3 linked regions of the Drosophila melanogaster genome follow. The protein of the gene in region 2 interacts with the protein of the main gene of each other region in a pairwise test. Each region holds a gene or a part of one and is shown on either strand. Other genes may lie near its edges.

Region 1 (6,534 bases), on a different chromosome or scaffold from region 2:
AATACCTATATATAAAGAACTCGTCTGAATTTTATTAAATCTAGCTCCTTATATGGTTAACGGATTCGTTACTTTTGTGCTTAGTTTAGTTACAGTGTATCAAGTTTGTTACTTACTCTTCCTGCACCTCAATGCCGCTGTCATCCATGGTCCCCTTGGCATAGTCTCCACTGTAGCCACCGGCGAGAGGCTGTTGCGACGCCAGCGTCGACGCCAGCTGCGGCTGACCAGCGGCGGCAGCGGCGGTATCTGCGGCATCGAACCCAAAAGTGGACTCCATGTGCTCCGACAACGGCGTCGGCGTCTCGAAGACGAGCGTCTCCACCATCGAACCCTTCGAGGACCCAAAGGAGACGCTGTGGACACAAACAGTTAGTATATAATAAAATAATACCTATTAACAAATTAACTTAGCAAAATATACTCCTATATCCTTTCATTATAAACGATTAAAATATAAAAAGGATATTATACAAGATCAGTCTACTTAAGGCAGTAGACTCTAGCGGAAAAAGTGTAAGAGATTTCAAAGTATGTTTTCAAAAAAAAAAAAACAAAAAAAATTAAGACAGGAAACTTTCAGAAATCACGAACTTGTTAACTAGTGTTCATGTTACTGTCAAACTAAATCAATTTCATTTCAGGATAAATAATCGACAAGTAATCCCTTGAATACCTTTCAAGATATATAGCTGTGCTTTGTTGCGAGGCAAAATCGAAATTATAATCAATCGGTCAGGTTGCTTTTAAGTGATAATCACGAAATTAAAGACTTTCTAATACCTATTATAGAATTTTCGAAAATATAATGTAAGTTCCTTACTCTGGAGTTAAAATTATGGGAAAACTAAGAGACTTTAAAGATTGAATTATAGCTAATGAAGTAAGGAGAATAAGTACACTAACTAAACTATCACCAAGACAGTTGTATATAATGTATAAATTGAATAGCTTGAATAAGAGTAAGTAATTGTTGGAGATTTACCGTTTGAGGCCGACGCTTTTGGTGCCCAATTTGCTCAGTTTGCCGGGTTTCTTTTGGGGGCGTGGGAATTTATCGCTCAGATCGCTGGATATATCCTCATCATCAGCTGCTGTTGTTGCAGTTGTTATTGTTGTTGTTACCGGTTCTTCTCCTGTCGTCGTTGCTGTTGTTGCTGCTGCTGTCGCCGCATTGTTGTTGTTGCTGCTGCTGGCCTCGTTGTTTTTGCATTTGCTGCTATTCTTATTACTTTTATTATTAGCCATGTTTTTCGCACTGACCACAAGCGAACCATTATTGTTGTTGTTCACATTGTTGTTGTTTTGCTGCGTTGTTGTTGTGTGCACCAGTGGCAGCGACGTTGGCGGCGCAGCAGCAGCGACGCCGGCAGAGAATGCCGACGCAGGCAGCGGCGCAACAACAATCTCCTCGCTTAGCAAAAGCGTTCGCTCATCACAGTCGGCAGCGCCGCCGGCGGCGACGTCAACGTCGGCAGAGACGCCAGCAGAGCCGTTGGACAGCATTGCGGTTGCAGCAAAACGATTCGATTTCGATTTCGCGGCTAACGGTGCATTTCGAGGGGGCGGCGTGGTGGGCGGGGCCAGGGCCAGCATAGGTATATCTTTATATATATATATAGCTGCGCCACACACACACACAAACACTTAGTTAAATCGCAATTTGTGTGTGCAAAATAATGACAACCCAAAAAAAAAGCCAAACAAAATCAGCACTTGCACAAAGGCACACAAATATATATTTCTATATTTTTTTTAGCACAGTTAACGCGCACCTCTGTAAACAGTAATAACAAAAAAAAAAACAAGCAGCAACAGCTACCGCAACTGCGACGTCGACGGAGGCAGCGGCTGCGGCAGAGGCGTCGGTGACCTGCACTTTAGTTCCCGACCAGAAACTCGCGTTTATAAATAAATATATGCATGTGCATTTAATAAATCCGTTAGCGCGCGCTCTGTTGCTCTTGTCCTGCGAATTCGGATCTCGGATTTTTTCGGATCGGAGCGATACAGTCGGAACAATCGTGTGTGTATATTTGGCAGCGCTTCGAATTTCTGTTCTGTTCTGTTCCGTTTTGTTCGAACGCACTGGCGATGACACCCGGCCGATAGCGCGACTGTCCGATAAGCAGCACGCCAATTGCGATATCTAGATAGCTGCCTAGATAGTTTTTGTAAAGGTAAAAATCTAGGAAAAGTGCCAAACTATAAAGTATTTAATTCTTAAATTTCCGAAAATAAATAGTTAATGCATTCAGAATGAAAAATACTTAGTGGTAATAATATAATGTAGCATTTAGCTTAAAGTAAAATTGTTTCAATTTGATATATAAAAAGTTATGCTTAGATTTAGCACATAAATGTTTGCACAAAATAATAAAATAAAAATGTTTAAATTTCGCATATAATTGCAAGAACTACATTTTTAATATCTTGAACAACACTGCTTAGCCCATCCGTCGACTATCGATGGCTTATCGATATGCGCAAACTAGCAGTTCTTCCATCCCTATAGAGATGAGCGAAATTGCAATTTTCTGTTTTAATATTCGCAGCAGAAAAAACAACAAATAAACAGCAATAAATTGGAATATATGGGATATATAGCCGCGATTTAACTTGCTTAAATCGTAAGACTGAAAAAGCGTGTAAAGCCCGCCGAGGTGAAGTCGCCAAAGCGAGGAAACTCGCTCATCTCTATTACAAATACGAAAATGAAACTGCGTGCATTCTAAATGGTAAGTTAAACGTCCAGAAAAAACGGTTAGTGCTGTTCACTAAACAAAATACACAAATAACCGGCTATAATTAATTGTTTTCCAATTGCTGTGAGGAAAAGCAATAAACATTCCTCGGCATTTGCAGCAAAAACAACAATCAAAATAAGCACGCACACTAATACGCAAATGTTTTTCTCTATTTTCGTTTATTTCTCTTTTTGTTTGTAAAACAAAGTGCATAAAACGCAACAATTACACGCTTTAATGGTTTTGTACACTTCGATAAATTGTGAAATACATTTTCATGCAAAACCAAAACACACCCACTTTTTACCTGTGCGAATGTGTGTGTGCATGTGGAAAATCCTTTTACAGTGCGCGAAATGAAAACAAGTGCGAAAATCTATAAATAAGTGCAATGCTTATGTTTATAGTTTTTATTACCATGACTCACATAGAAAATTACTTTGTCTGCAAAAATAGAACGCACAAATATTGCCGGTTCAAAAATACCGGTTAGCCCGGTTAAGAAAATGCAAAAAAAAAAAACAATGTTTAAGAACCACAACCACTTTGGCCACAAAACCCTAGCCCACATTTAATTTCAATTAAAATTACGTAAAAGAAGAAAAAAAATGTCTCATTCAATGAGTAAACCCCTAGCGGTTATATTTTGTTAACTGAGTTATCTAAAAAAAAAAAACAAATTCTAAAATAGAAAAATGAGTGTGTAAGGTAATTTCCGGCATTCATATGGAACACTCTAGAGGAACTATGTATTTAAAAATACTTTGCCCTAGAAAATGTGTTGAGCTGCTTAAAAGTTTGAGGTACACACACCTTTTACAATCCATTTAAATATTCAAAAAACACGTCGTCACGTTTGTGACATCAAGTTCTAGTAATATGTAGAAATACCTTGGAAATTTAACTAGTTGCATTATTATTATTATTATTATTCAAATATATGTATCTATTTAATTACAATATTTAAATTTCTCTACCATGCCAGCCACATGGGAACCATGACCAAGGACTACGACTATCTGCTAAAGGTTCTACTGGTGGGCGACAGCGATGTGGGCAAGCACGAGATTCTCTCAAACCTGGAGGATCCCTCCACGGAGAGTCCCTTCTGCAGTGGGAACGGTAAGTGCTGGGTATATCCTTTGAACGACCACCGGATATGCAAGCCAATCTAATAGACTGCACATCTCATATCCTTCAAACGGTAGCCTACAAGACGACCACCATCCTGCTGGAGGGCAAGCGGGTGAAGCTGCAGCTGTGGGACACCTCCGGCCAGGGACGCTTCTGCACGATCATTCGCTCCTATTCGCGCGGCGCCCAGGGCATCATCCTCGTCTACGACATCACCAACAAGTGGAGCTTCGACGGTATCGATCGGTGGCTCAAGGAGGTCGACGAGGTCAGTTGGAAATTAAAAATGGGATTAGGAAAGGCAGCACATTGGAGAGATCTTTGTTACGACATTTTTACTAGCTGTAAATTAGTACTTAAAGTGTGGCTACTTATATTTTTACAAGATAGATTCACAATTAATACGACAATGCTGTAACGAAGATTAGATTATAGATTCCAATGTGTTTTCCTTTCTTGGTTTACCATTAATGCTTTCCATTATTAACTCCATATGTACGATTAATTTACAGCACGCCCCAGGAATTCCGAAGGTTCTTGTCGGGAATCGCCTGCACTTGGCCTTCAAGCGACAGGTGGCGGCCAAACAGGCCGAGACCTACGCCAGCCGCAACAATATGTCCTGCTTCGAGATATCGCCTCTCTGCAACTTCAACATCCGCGAGTCCTTTTGCGAACTGGCGCGGATGGCCCTGCATCGCAACGGCATGGAGCACATCTGGCGCAGCAATAAGGGTAAATATAACTAGGTTATTCAATGGGAGAAGGATAGTGCCTTTCGAGTTTAACGAACAGTAATTCATTATCTAGTTTGTGTAGACCAGGTTCAATTTCATTAATCTCTTCTATTTTTAGTTAAATTGTGAAAAAGTCATGACAAGGCCTTGAGGTCAATTTTGATTGAGCTCCAATTAAAGCGTTCATTATGTCAAGCCAATCATTAATCTTTTTCCGACCGTTGAATAACACTTAATCGCTATAATGTGTGAACTTTTGTTGATTCACAAATAACTAAAACTTATGAACTTATGAACTTATCAGATGAACTTTAGAGAAAACTCGAAATGCACTCTCCCCAGCAGAAAGACATGTATATTGTTCGTTAATTCACTTAGTAACCCACTTTGAATGCCATTGCAGTGCTGTCGCTTCAGGAATTGTGCTGCAGGACAATTGTGCGAAGGACGAGCGTGTATGCGATCGATTCGCTGCCGCTGCCGCCGTCGGTGAAGTCGACGCTCAAGTCATACGCGCTGACCACGTCCCAGTGCTTCAATTCACTGACCCAGAGCTCCAAGAGCAAGAACCGCTGCAAGACGCCGACGAGCAGCAGTCGGAATAGCTGTGCGATCGCGTGATCGTTGCCTTGTAGGCCGCCGCCCAGCCGCCTACGCCGCCACGCCCCTAACCGACATTAACTTTAATTGAGCTCTACTTATGTACTCTAGGCTATAACACACACACACACACACACACCCATACCATACCCATACCCATTACCATACACACATTCAACCCAGCTCTTTGGTTATATGTTTTGTTTTATTGACATTGATATTTGTGGTCAACAATGTTTACTTTTTACACAGTAAAGCATGCACCTTTTTTAGTTTTTAACCACCCCCATCCCAGGCCCATTCCCCCAACTTCTCTATTTTGCATTAATCTAATGTTGTTAATATTATTATGTTTGTATAATTCTAATATTTAATGCATCAAACACATCAACATATAAGAAATGAAAAACAAAAACGAAGAAATAACATCAAGTGAAAATCAACTTTTATATGGATAAAAAGAATTAAATTTTTTTTTTGTTTGTTTACCATTCGGATTAAAATATTCTTAGATATGTATTGTAATTGAAGCGAATTCAGCAAGAGAAGCACACACAAAGGCGAATTGATAAAAATAATTCATAATGAACTAGAAAACTGTGTTTTCATTTATTTGCCATCCCTTTCTGATTCCTGGCCAGCTGATTCCATCTCTTTCCATTTAGGTTTCTAATTTGTGGTAATTTAAAGTGAAAGTTCGCTGCATCTATAATAGGATCAGTCTATAAAATTATGCAACTTTTTTTTAAGTTTCTCTTGAAAAGCTGCGTTTTCATATTCATTTGGCATTTTTCTAGATGTTAATTCGAGTGTAATGTTGAGTAGAACCAAAACTAAAGTGGAAGAAAGTTAAGCGATTTCTTTGAGAGATTTCTTATATATATATCTCGAAAATTTGAAACAGTACTGAGATAGGGTTTTTCTGAAGTTAAAAAATATTTGAACAACGTTTGTTAGGATTTAACCAATGAAAATTATGCACATCTGCCACAACTCTTATTTAAGTAATATATTTGCATATATTTGGGAATATGCGGTTATTGCTTATAAATGATATAATTTTTATAATAATATGGAATATGGATAATATGGATTTTGGGCTAGAACCAAATATTTTCAAAAATTGCCATTGATATGTGTTGGAAAATGCCATCGTTTAGGCATAGGTATCTTTATAGCTAATGTATCTTGTATCTTTGAAGTATTCTTGTGCATTCATTTATTTTTATTTTTTATTACAAGATCATGAAGTTCCATAACTTTTGTAGAAACAATACCCTTTCTATTACAGCTTGAAGATCACTTGGGATTGCCGG
Region 2 (4,887 bases):
GGGAAAGAAATAAAGAAGCAAAACTTGGCTCCGACACTAACATGTCCAATATTGAACTTTAGCATATTGCAAGACAAATGGAAACTTGGCTTACGGGCCGGTCTTGACAAGGTCTTTTCGAATCCATGGCGACCCAAGTGGAGGAGGCCGACGATCAATCAGATCGGTACTTCGAACTCCACAAGCCTCCAATCCACCTTGAACCTGAGAATTCGATTTGAGGAAGTACTTAGGCTGTTGTCTTCAATTGTCACTTGTCATTTCTAGGCGATTTTTATCGCACGGTAAAAAAAAGAGTTACTCTTCTATGGAAATGTACTGCAAACTGGTTTGGCTTTAAACAGTTTTCGTTTACGTCCGAAAAACCAGTTTGATGATTTTTTAAAAATTGGTTTAATCAACATGCATCTTGGCCAATTTCAATATTGAACAAAGCTTTTGTCTGCGCCTTCTTAATTCTGCGAATCTGAAGATTTACGAGCCGATCGTGATTGAAATGTTAAGTTCACTTCGAGTGGTTTCCCGTAAATAATTAAAATGTTTTGATTGACATTTTTTTTCGGCACTAATACTGGTTATTACAAATCAGACAGTAACACTGCAGCCTAATCCACAAATCTTGTAGAATCACAGACTGTCAACAGTCAAGGCTGCAGAGAAATATACCCATTATGGCGACAACTGGGACCGAACAAACTGCATAATAAACGTTGGCGTTGACAAACTGCATAATTGGAGCTAGTTTTCAATATATTTGCGCCTGCCCACGTATACAAGTGTAAACTTTGAAAAGGAAAAAAAAAAAACTAAATAAATAAAAAACTTAAGCAAAGTCAAACTGGCCAAGGCCAGTGAAAAAAGTCTCACTTGAGTGGAAATGTTAATTAATTAATTTATGAAAAACTAGTTAACGCAATTAAGCAGCATGCACGAATCTAAAAATGTTAAACAATGACCGGCAGTAAATATATTTTAATATGTAATTGGATTCAACTTGAAAGCACTAGAAGTTGAAAGTAGAAACATTGACAAGTACTTGTGTCATTAAAACTTGTTCTGCTTAAGCATATTCGGTTATGGAAAATGGAAGGATTTCGCACACTCACTTGGTGCGCTTCGTCACTACGTGGACTGTTCTTCACAGTGATGTAGCATAATTAAGCCAACCAACTGGATTTTAATCGTTACTAAAGCGATGTTTCCAACTCATGTGATATTATTTTTAATTTTCCCTTAAACAGATATGTTCCGTTTGTTGGTTCTTGCGGCCTGCCTGGCCATCAGTGTCCACGCCTACTCCGATGGTGCTCCAAAGGTATGAACCTGCCCCATCGAAATACATGACGGATAGATTCCTTATATTCCCATCTTCATTATCCCAAAGGCCGCCTGTCGTGACCTGACGCCCCAGCACGGAGCCAAGCTGCAGGTGACCAAGCCGCCGTACAGCATCTCCGGACCCTCCCATGTGCGCTCGGATCAAAAGCTGACCCTGACGCTGGGCGGCGATGAGTTCCTTGGCTTCATGATCCAGGCACGCGATGGCCAGAACCGCGTCGTCGGCCAGTTCCAGGTGGTGGACTCCGTGCACTCGCAGACCTTGGACTGCTCCGGCAAGGACGACACCATCACCCATCTGAGTGCGCAAAAGGGCAAGCCGCTGACCGGCATCACCTTCGACTGGATTCCGCCAGCAGGCTACAAGGGCAACGTCAAGTTCATGGCCACCGTGGTGCAGACCGGATTCGTTTACTGGGTGGGTCGCGTCACAAAAGACATCGATGTGGAGTAGTGCTTGTGATAGATGTTTTCATGATTTGTTCAAAATCCTACAAGTCTTTGTTTAGCGTTAATGTTCCGATTAGCTTTGGAGCGTAGTATTTTTGAAAATAAAATCAAAAAGTTCGTTGATAAAATGGGAGTGATTTCAATTGTGGGACTCTCTGTCTAAGAATGCTTAGTAGATTTGAAAATAAATATTGGAAGTGTTTCACACTTATATTTAAAAAGTGTATGTGTATGTTATTGTGTATGAACCAGCACACTTCCTAAACATATTATGAAATCAATTGCACCTAGAAAAGTTATTATATTTTCCTAGAAAACAAATGCTAAATTTATTAAATTGCTGTTCCGAATAACGGTCATTATTTTCAAAACCGATAACGATAATTGTTTGAGTGTCGTATACTCCAGCTTTCAGTTGGCCCACTTGGTCAGCTGTTTATCGCCGCAACATATCAGCTGTTTTCCGCTTGTTTTATAAGTTGAAGAACTTTATTTTCTGTCTTGATTCTGTAAATTAAGCAAATTCGGGATGATTAGAAGCCTTCTGCGCAGCTTTGAGACGGCACTCAAGCTGCATGCCGGCTTAAATATGCACCCAATGCACTGCAGCAGGCGCCTACTCTTCTCGCAGTACGAAAACCGCGCCAGTCCGAGCAGACTGACCTCCAGTGGCACTTTAGGTAGCAACGAGGCGGAAAACGATTATGTGCCTTATCGCCAGGATCGGGAGACTGGAACCAAGACGCGGGTGCTCCTCGAAGCTCTGCGGGAACGTTTTCGCTTCACGGACGCTGAGCTCCAAAAGATAATCAGCGACGAGCTGGTGCACCGCTGCTACCGCGGTAGATCACTGACTCTGGTCATGGACACACTGCAGCTAGAGGGCGTTAGCAGGCGCAGCTTCGTGGAGTATCCTTGGCTACTGTCGCTGGACAATAGTAAGCTCATTTGCTTTATATCCTTTATGTGATTAAATCATCGGTTATTTGTTTATCTATTCAGAACGCTTGGAGCTAAAGATGCAGCTACTCAAGTCAATGGACTTTAAGGACATCAATCATTTTGTGCCTTTCCTGCGCCTCACTGTTCCACGTCTTCGAAAACTGGTGGGTGCTCTGAACTCTGAGAGGGATGCAATGCCACAGCGAAATCGTGTCTACTATATCAGCGAAAAGCTGGATGTCAGCCCCGATATTGTGAGCAAATATCTATCGAAGAGGCTGTTTATCCTGGAAATGCCGTTCGAGATGTTCGAAAAGAACCTGCAGCACATGATCGACTACAATGTGTCGCCAATAAACGTACTCAAGGATCTATGGGCCTTTCGCTATACTCCAAAGTCTGTTCAGTTGCGTTTGGAGCGCGCCAAGCGGGCGAAAAAGGACAAGATCATGCCGTGGATGGTGCGCTGCCCGGAGCCAATACTGCAGCGCTCCCTGAAGCTTTCTCTCGACGAACTGAAGGTTTTGGGAGAGTTCTCCTCCGTGGTGGAATACTTAGCGCATCGTCTTGGTTTCAGCACCAGTGAAGCCAAGGCAATCATGGACAAACATCCGCAGGTGCACACCGTGCGAGTTACCAAGGTAAGTCACAATGGGTTAACTCAAACAATCATAAGCTATACAATTTTGCCTTCAGATCAAAGAGGTGCTAGACTACCTACTCGATGAGGCCCAGTTTACCAGATTTGAGGTCGCTCAAAATCCTCGAATTCTATGCCACAGCCTGAAAACCACAAAGGAGCGCATGGAAGAACTGAAATCGCACGGTTGTCGACCCTCCTCTCTTGTAATTCTTTGCCGCAGCCGGAGGGAGTACGATAAGTTTTTGCAGAACTGGATAAGCCATGAAAGAAATCCGCAAAGTGTATCAGAAGGATGATGAACTGACGAATGACCTGATGCCATCACCGTGAAAGCTTAAAAAGTTGTTGTAAAGTTAAGATACTTTTTTCAAAAGTTTTGCCACGAAATTGAACACGATTAAAAGCCAATATTCAAAAAACGTTATTAATTACGACCAGGGGACCGCTGTTATGATGGTATCTTCATTTTTAAAGGACCCTTAACAAGTAAGGTTTCCATAATATTGTAAGGAAACCAATCAGGGAACCTTTTCGATTTCAATAGGTTTTTTAACCACCAGTCGGATTACTCGTCCTGCGGACAGAAAGTTTAGTTTGTTTAGTTTGGACGACTCTCTGCAGTCATTCTACCACTTCGGATGGCTTAATCAGTTGGAAATTTTCTTTCAACATTTATAAACGCAGAACAAACCAAATTGCAAACTTAGTTAATTAGAAAATTCCAGAAATGTTATTGCCCCTCCACATTTTCACCGTTAGCGATAAAAATTTCTTGAAAGCAAAAGGCAGCTAAATTATTTATGATGTTTATATTTAGCGAATGAAGTATTTTTCAATATTTTGATTGCTTTACAAGAATAGAGAATATTCTATATCTAGATACATAAACTATTACTGAGGTTCAAATAGAATATTGCTAACTGAGTTGTGTATAAAAGACTGGTTACTTTGGACGTGAAGCCACTGCAATTCAAAGTATCATACAAACTGGTCAAGATGTTCATCCAAAGCTTCCTGTTGCTATTGGCGCTCAATTCCCTGTCCGCAGGACCAGTAATCCGGCCGGAAGAACGCATTATCGGTGGACAACCCATTGGAATCGAGGAGGCACCATGGCAGGTGTCCATACAACGTGATGGCAAACATTTATGCGGTGGCTCCATTTACAGCGCAGATATCATCATTACTGCGGCCCATTGCGTCCAGGGCCAGGGATATCAAGTTCGGGCAGGATCCGCCTTGAAGAACTCCAATGGAAGTGTTGTCGATGTGGCCGCTATAAGGACGCATGAGGGATTAGGAAACGACATCGCCATCGTGCGGCTAAGTAAGCCACTTGAGTTCACAAACCAAGTTCAGCCCATTCCATTGGCCAAGACAAATCCCCCGCCTGGATCGATTGCCTTCGTCTCTGGCTGGGGAAGTTCTTCTTATTACTCACATCCCATCGATCTTCAAGGAGTAAACCTTTACATTCAATGGCCGTACTATTGTGGATTAACTGAACCGTCAAG
Region 3 (5,546 bases), on a different chromosome or scaffold from region 2:
GATTGGTGGCCTTGTCCAACGGAACAGGCAGACGGAAGCTGTATTCCTCGCGGGTATTGTACTTCACCTTGTGGCTGGCCAGACACTCAACGCGATCCTCCAGCAGGAACTTTAGAGCATCTGCGGGATTTGTTTGGTTCCGCGAATTCCTGTCCAGCAGGGTGAGCAAATGCAGATAGAAATCGTTGGCATCTTGCTGCTGTTTGGTGCTGAAATCTGGGTGATTCTTGCCCACAATGTTCTTAAACATGGCCGGCGATATTCCGGTGCTGTGATCGGTGTCCAAAGTGTTCTCGGCAATACTGCTGTACTTTCCCGACTGCAGACCAGTTCCCAGCTTGGCCATTTGAATATTGAAGTCGTTGGCCGGGTCGCTGGGAAACTCTTTGAAATAGCGTTCCGCTCCAGTGCCCACGAACCGCTGCTGGAAGTCTGGGATGACGAAGAGCACTTGCATCACGCTGTTTATGTAGCAGGAGTTGCCCAGATTGCGCATGCCAGTGTATCCAGGACCAGCAACAGGCTGCAGCTCACTTTCGCTCTCCGTAAGCGCCGTCCACTCGCCGATGCGCTGGTTAATGTCCAACTCTAGCTCCACCATCGACTTCTCGCTCTTCTTCATCGCCGCCATGTTGATGCCAAAGTGGGAGAGATGGCGCTCTAAGTGTGGATCGAGTACCATTTCATCCTCCGGGTAGGAGAACACATCCGACTTGCCATCAGCGGTGATGGTGCCCAGTTTCACCGCCAGCGGGAAACCCGTTACTCTGTAGTGCTCCACGGCGTGATCGTTGCCGCCACTGCCGTCAAAGAACTTGCGTCCGCACATGATCGAACCATCGGTCAGATTAAGCCAGAGGTTGTTGGTCAAGTCGCACTTCTCGCACTGCCAGCCGGATGGGGGAATCCTCTTGCCATTATCCAGCTGCTGCAGGTTATCTGCGTACTTCGACGCCTGACGCACTTCACCATCCCAGGTGCCTGAAAAATTATTGATTTTAGGCTACCTTCGTCAGCATGGGATAACAATCCTGCAACTCACCCATCAGCGTGGCCTTCTCCAACTTGGCAATTGCCGAGTCGGCGGCCAGGATCGCTTCCACCGACTGGGTGACACGCATGGGCAGCTCTGGATCCGGATAGGGCAGCTTCTTATCCAGGTGCGGAGCCACCACGATGCTGTACGTGTCCTTGATCTCGTACTTCTTGGCCATGTCCGACTCGTTGTAGCCGCCCTCGACGCCAATGGCCAGGCGGGTGATCTTCCGTTCCGGTCCTGCCTCCGACTCCGCGCATTCGGCCTCCATGTCGGCGCCCTCCTTGATCGTCTTCACCCGCTGGATGTGGAGGAAGACCCGGTTGCCGGTCTTGTCGGCATACTCCCGCACATACGCCTCGCCGAAGCCCAAAAAGCTGTGCAGGCACACGTACAAACCGGTGGGCGTCTCGGGATTGTCATAGGAGTAGACGCACTCGTCCTTGTAGATGGGAGGACTGCCCGCCCCGGATGCGCATGGCACGTTCACCTTGGATAAATGCTTGCGTAGTTCCTCCATAACGGTATCTGGAATCCTGTAGGCAGCTCTTTTCTCATAAACTTTACGGACCGAATGTAAAATAGTATAGTTGATTTTTTTTGCAGCTGCTGCTTAGAGATGAACATGGGAAAATGCATCGATACCGGCGAGCATGGATATGCGAATATCGATGGGTTGAAATGGTGTTTTACTGGTTGAAATCAGCTTTTAACAATTCTTACCCTTATTTTTGTACCTTATAACGGCTTTTGAGTGATATTTACGTATTTGGCCGCCCAATAAGCACAATTAGTTTAATTTGACTGCTGCAGGCTATCGTTGTTTATTCAATACTGTCATCTCTAGCCAAAGCCAACAACAAATTCGCGAGTCACCAAGGGAACCGAACTGGTTCCGTTAAGTACGAACAATGCGGGGAAAGTGTGGCAACGCCGATTGTGATTCATCAGATGTATAACCGAAGTCAACATTTTAAAACAACAATTCAAATGTTAACCATTTAAATACAATAAACAAATTATTTTAAAATTTGGGACAATCTTTAACAATTGGGATACTAGTTTTGATCTAGGACTGGTCACACTATTAAGCGACCTGTCAACTCGTTGTATACAAAGTTGCCATATAGTCACAAAAATCTTTCGCATAAAGAAGTAAAACGTAAGAATTTTCATATGCGTTTTTCGCCAGGAAATCCGCATTAAAATAATGTAAAAAGTGGTAAAAAAGTTGGCGCAAAGAGTGAGCCAGTCAAAGGCATTGAAATTCAGCTCGCTCTAACAGTTTTCGGCGTTGTTTTGCCCCTCGCATAAATTTGTTGCGCGCCATTTTGTTTTTGGAAAGCAAAAGAAAAAGAAGAAATACAACAGCAAAAACCTACCACAAAAAGTCAAAGTTTGTAAAAGCGATAAAAAGCAAGAGGAAAAGGAATTCTGTGGGGGGAAAAGCGAGTGAATAACATGTGGCGGCTTGGCTAGTTCGAGCATCATCTTTGTGCCTCTAAAAGACATACGAAAATAACGCGCGACATGCACATAAATAAATACGACTGAAACACTGAAAACTGAAAATATCGATACGATGAATAAACGAAGAAGCAGCGATTAGTACGTCGTCGGCGGTCGTCTGTGTGGGTGAGAGAGTGAGGAAGACGGGAATGGGGAAGGCGATTAAGTGCGAAAGAGATGGAGGAGCGCGGGGCGCGTATATAATTACGTCATAAGAATTAAAGAAAATTCAAGGTCTACAGCACTGCGGCTATACAAAAAGCTATACGATTTCGTTACGTTCTCGGTTTTATCAAAAATAAAACTTTGGCCAGTGAGCAGCAACAACAACAAGTATGGCTGTTGTGTTCCAGTGTGTGTGTGTGTTGTGTTTCATTTTCGCGACTGTATAATTACATACACACGCAGTCCCGCCGATGTTGTTGTTTCTGTTTGATTTTTTATTGTAAGCGAGAAGAGCGCGCAGCTGTGAAAAGCAGATGAGAGAGAGAGAGGAAGAAAGCGAGAGAGTGGAATTTGTTGTTGAGCAATTTGTGTAACCATCGATAATGTTTGATTTATTTAAACCCCATTTTTATTACCCCTTTTTGCAGTGACTCGCGATGCGTGCGGCATAGAAGTCGTCGCCCCCCAAAAAACCGTGATCCCGACCCCCCACACGCACACACACATGTACAGACTGCGATTGTTCATAAATTTAAATTGATTAAAAGTCGGAGCGAAAAAGTAAAGCGAACAAAACACCGGAAAGCAAGGAAAATTAATAAAAATCAATAGAGGCGAGCGGGAGGCGATAAAAAGTGTTATCAGTGCGAATTAATTGGCTACGAAGAAGGAAAGAAGCAGGAGGCGGAGGAGCGGGAGCAGGAGGAGGAGGTTGCTCCGGAGATTGAGGTTTAGGGAGCTCCAAATCCGCATCCCGGACGCGGATCCGGACCCCTCGACATCATGTCCGTGCAGCAGTTCTGCCTGCGGTGGAACAACCACCAGCCGAACTTCATCTCCGTGTGCTCCTCGCTGCTGCACAATGGCACCCTGGTGGACGTCACCCTGGCAGCCGAGGGTCGCCAACTACAGGCCCACAAAATAGTGCTATCCGCCTGCAGCTCGTACTTTCAGGTAAGTTGGAGATCGCCGCAGCGTATATCCCTTACGAATTACACTCAAATGTGTTCGACAGGCTTTGTTCACCACAAATCCGTGCCAACATCCCATTGTCATCCTGAAGGACGTGCAGTACGATGACCTAAAGACCATGGTGGACTTTATGTACTACGGCGAGGTAAATGTGTCGCAGGAGCAGCTGCCGCACATCCTCAAGACCGCCGAGATGCTCAAGATCAAAGGCCTAGCGGAGATGCCAACGGATCCGGCCAATCTTACCAAGTCGGATAGCAAGTCCTCCACCGACGGCACCGAGATGGTGGGCGGTGCGGGAGTGGGCACTGGAGCGGGCAACTCGGCTGGCAGCCTGGGAGCCGGCAGTGGAAGCAGCGTCGGCGACTCCCTGTGGAGCAGCAGCGAGGCCCAACAGTTCCAGCAGCAGCAGCAACAGCAGGCCCAGCAACAGGCACAGCAGCAGCACCATCACCACCAGCAGCAGCAGCAGTTGCAGCAGCAACAACAACAGGCGCAGCAGCAGCAACAACAGCAGCAGCACCATCACCACCACCATCAGCAGCAGCAGAGCGGACAGGCGCAGGCGGCGCAGACGCATCACCACCAGATGCGACGTACGCCGTCGCCTTTGAGCGCTGGAACCTCGCCGGCCACCAGGCGCAAGCGCTTGCGCAAATCCTCGAATAACGGTGAGTTGGAGTTGGGTAAAGCATCGTCGTGATAGATCCAAAATTGTAAGGTCTCAAAAAATAACCGGTTTTCGTAATAACGCAGGTTCTGGCGATCGCAACAACGCGGAGGAGCAGCACAACAGCTCACTGGACGCGGGCAGTGGTGCCGGCAACGCCGGTCTCAGTCTCGCCCAGATGAACCAGATGACATTTGGTGCGGGCGGCGGCTTGGCCGGCCACTCACTGCACGCGGCTAAGCTGCTCAAGGAGTCGGCCAGCGCTGAGCTAGAGCAGCAGCCGCAGGACTCGGATCTTGACGATGGACACGGACACTTACACATGCAAATTGTAATGAAATTGGTCACGTTAACCTTGTACCCTCGTCCGCATGAGCAAAGTCACTAATTGTTTTCTTTTTCTTCTCGGTGCCCACGTGCAGAAGCCCGAAGTCGACATTGGCGGCGTGAACCAAACGATGCCCTTGGACATCTCCGGCGGTACCACACCATCCGAGCACGATGCGCCGAACTCCCAGTCCTCGCACTCGGGTAAGTCGCAATTGGAAATCAAAAGCCAGCACACTGTTCCATCAAAGCTCATTGTTCATCGGGTAGGGATCTCATTCGCCAGGTTGGATTCTTTTTTTTTATCGTTTCTTAGTTTTGTTTGCCTTGATTACTTTAAAAAACACAAATCACGGACAACTTAACTGCAATTCGTAGTCAAAAGAAAGCTGACACACTATAGACTAAGCAGGAGTCAAGAGGGAAAACGTGTATAGATCAGAAATGACTTGACTTTTTTGAAACGAGCATGACTGAAAGAACATAGCTTTACAATGTTGGTATCATTTGCGAACTGACTAGGGGTTCACTGAACTGATAAGCACTGTCACCTATGTTCTCTTAAGCAAATCAATGTGAAATCTGAACCACTGTGTACTCTCGATTCATCGAAATAATGCCCACAATCATACTTCATCTGCATATCTCACACACGAACGGTGCCATTTCGAAACAATTTCAGTACACAGCGCTTGGAGAAATGAATGCTAAAGCTAAATATGAGATCTAGTATACCGATTATTCATTACTGATTTACCGACTAAGTGCAACGAAATAATTGTGAAATGCCGAAATTTTCTATGTTTAACTATTATTGTGTATTGTATTCCAAAAAACCGAATCCTGCCTGAACTTGGGAATGGGAGA

The links.
Region 1: the proteins of mTTF (region 2) and Rab40 interact in a two-hybrid assay, tested with the Drosophila melanogaster proteins (one large-scale study listed by BioGRID).
Region 3: the proteins of mTTF (region 2) and BtbVII interact in a two-hybrid assay, tested with the Drosophila melanogaster proteins (one large-scale study listed by BioGRID).

Annotation. Positions count from the first base shown.
Region 1 is NC_004354.4:12,459,071-12,465,604, reverse strand, and holds Rab40 (Rab40), read left to right. Parts: upstream 1-2,492; 5' UTR 2,493-2,738; intron 2,739-3,443; exon of another isoform or gene 3,444-3,550; intron 3,551-3,732; 5' UTR 3,733-3,736; coding exon 3,737-3,869; intron 3,870-3,925; coding exon 3,926-4,149; intron 4,150-4,393; coding exon 4,394-4,616; intron 4,617-5,021; coding exon 5,022-5,239; 3' UTR 5,240-5,809; downstream 5,810-6,534. Other genes in the region: CG42258 (uncharacterized protein), read right to left, coding at 117-356, 986-1,506.
Region 2 is NT_033779.5:14,346,137-14,351,023, reverse strand, and holds mTTF (mitochondrial transcription termination factor), read left to right. Parts: upstream 1-2,233; 5' UTR 2,234-2,317; coding exon 2,318-2,726; intron 2,727-2,790; coding exon 2,791-3,371; intron 3,372-3,426; coding exon 3,427-3,669; 3' UTR 3,670-3,785; downstream 3,786-4,887. Other genes in the region: l(2)34Fc (lethal (2) 34Fc), read left to right, coding at 1,244-1,315, 1,385-1,792; Send2 (spermathecal endopeptidase 2), read left to right, coding at 4,370-4,887. UniProt on the Drosophila melanogaster protein: Transcription termination factor. Binds promoter DNA and regulates mitochondrial replication and transcription.
Region 3 is NT_037436.4:3,146,490-3,152,035, forward strand, and holds the start of BtbVII (BTB-protein-VII), read left to right. Parts: upstream 1-2,156; 5' UTR 2,157-2,198; intron 2,199-2,210; exon of another isoform or gene 2,211-2,248; intron 2,249-2,412; exon of another isoform or gene 2,413-2,432; intron 2,433-2,643; exon of another isoform or gene 2,644-2,671; intron 2,672-3,138; 5' UTR 3,139-3,493; coding exon 3,494-3,664; intron 3,665-3,725; coding exon 3,726-4,353; coding exon of another isoform or gene 4,354-4,368; intron 4,369-4,438; coding exon 4,439-4,683; coding exon of another isoform or gene 4,684-4,695; intron 4,696-4,774; coding exon 4,775-4,883; intron 4,884-5,546. Other genes in the region: Usp5 (ubiquitin specific protease 5), read right to left, coding at 1-981, 1,043-1,556.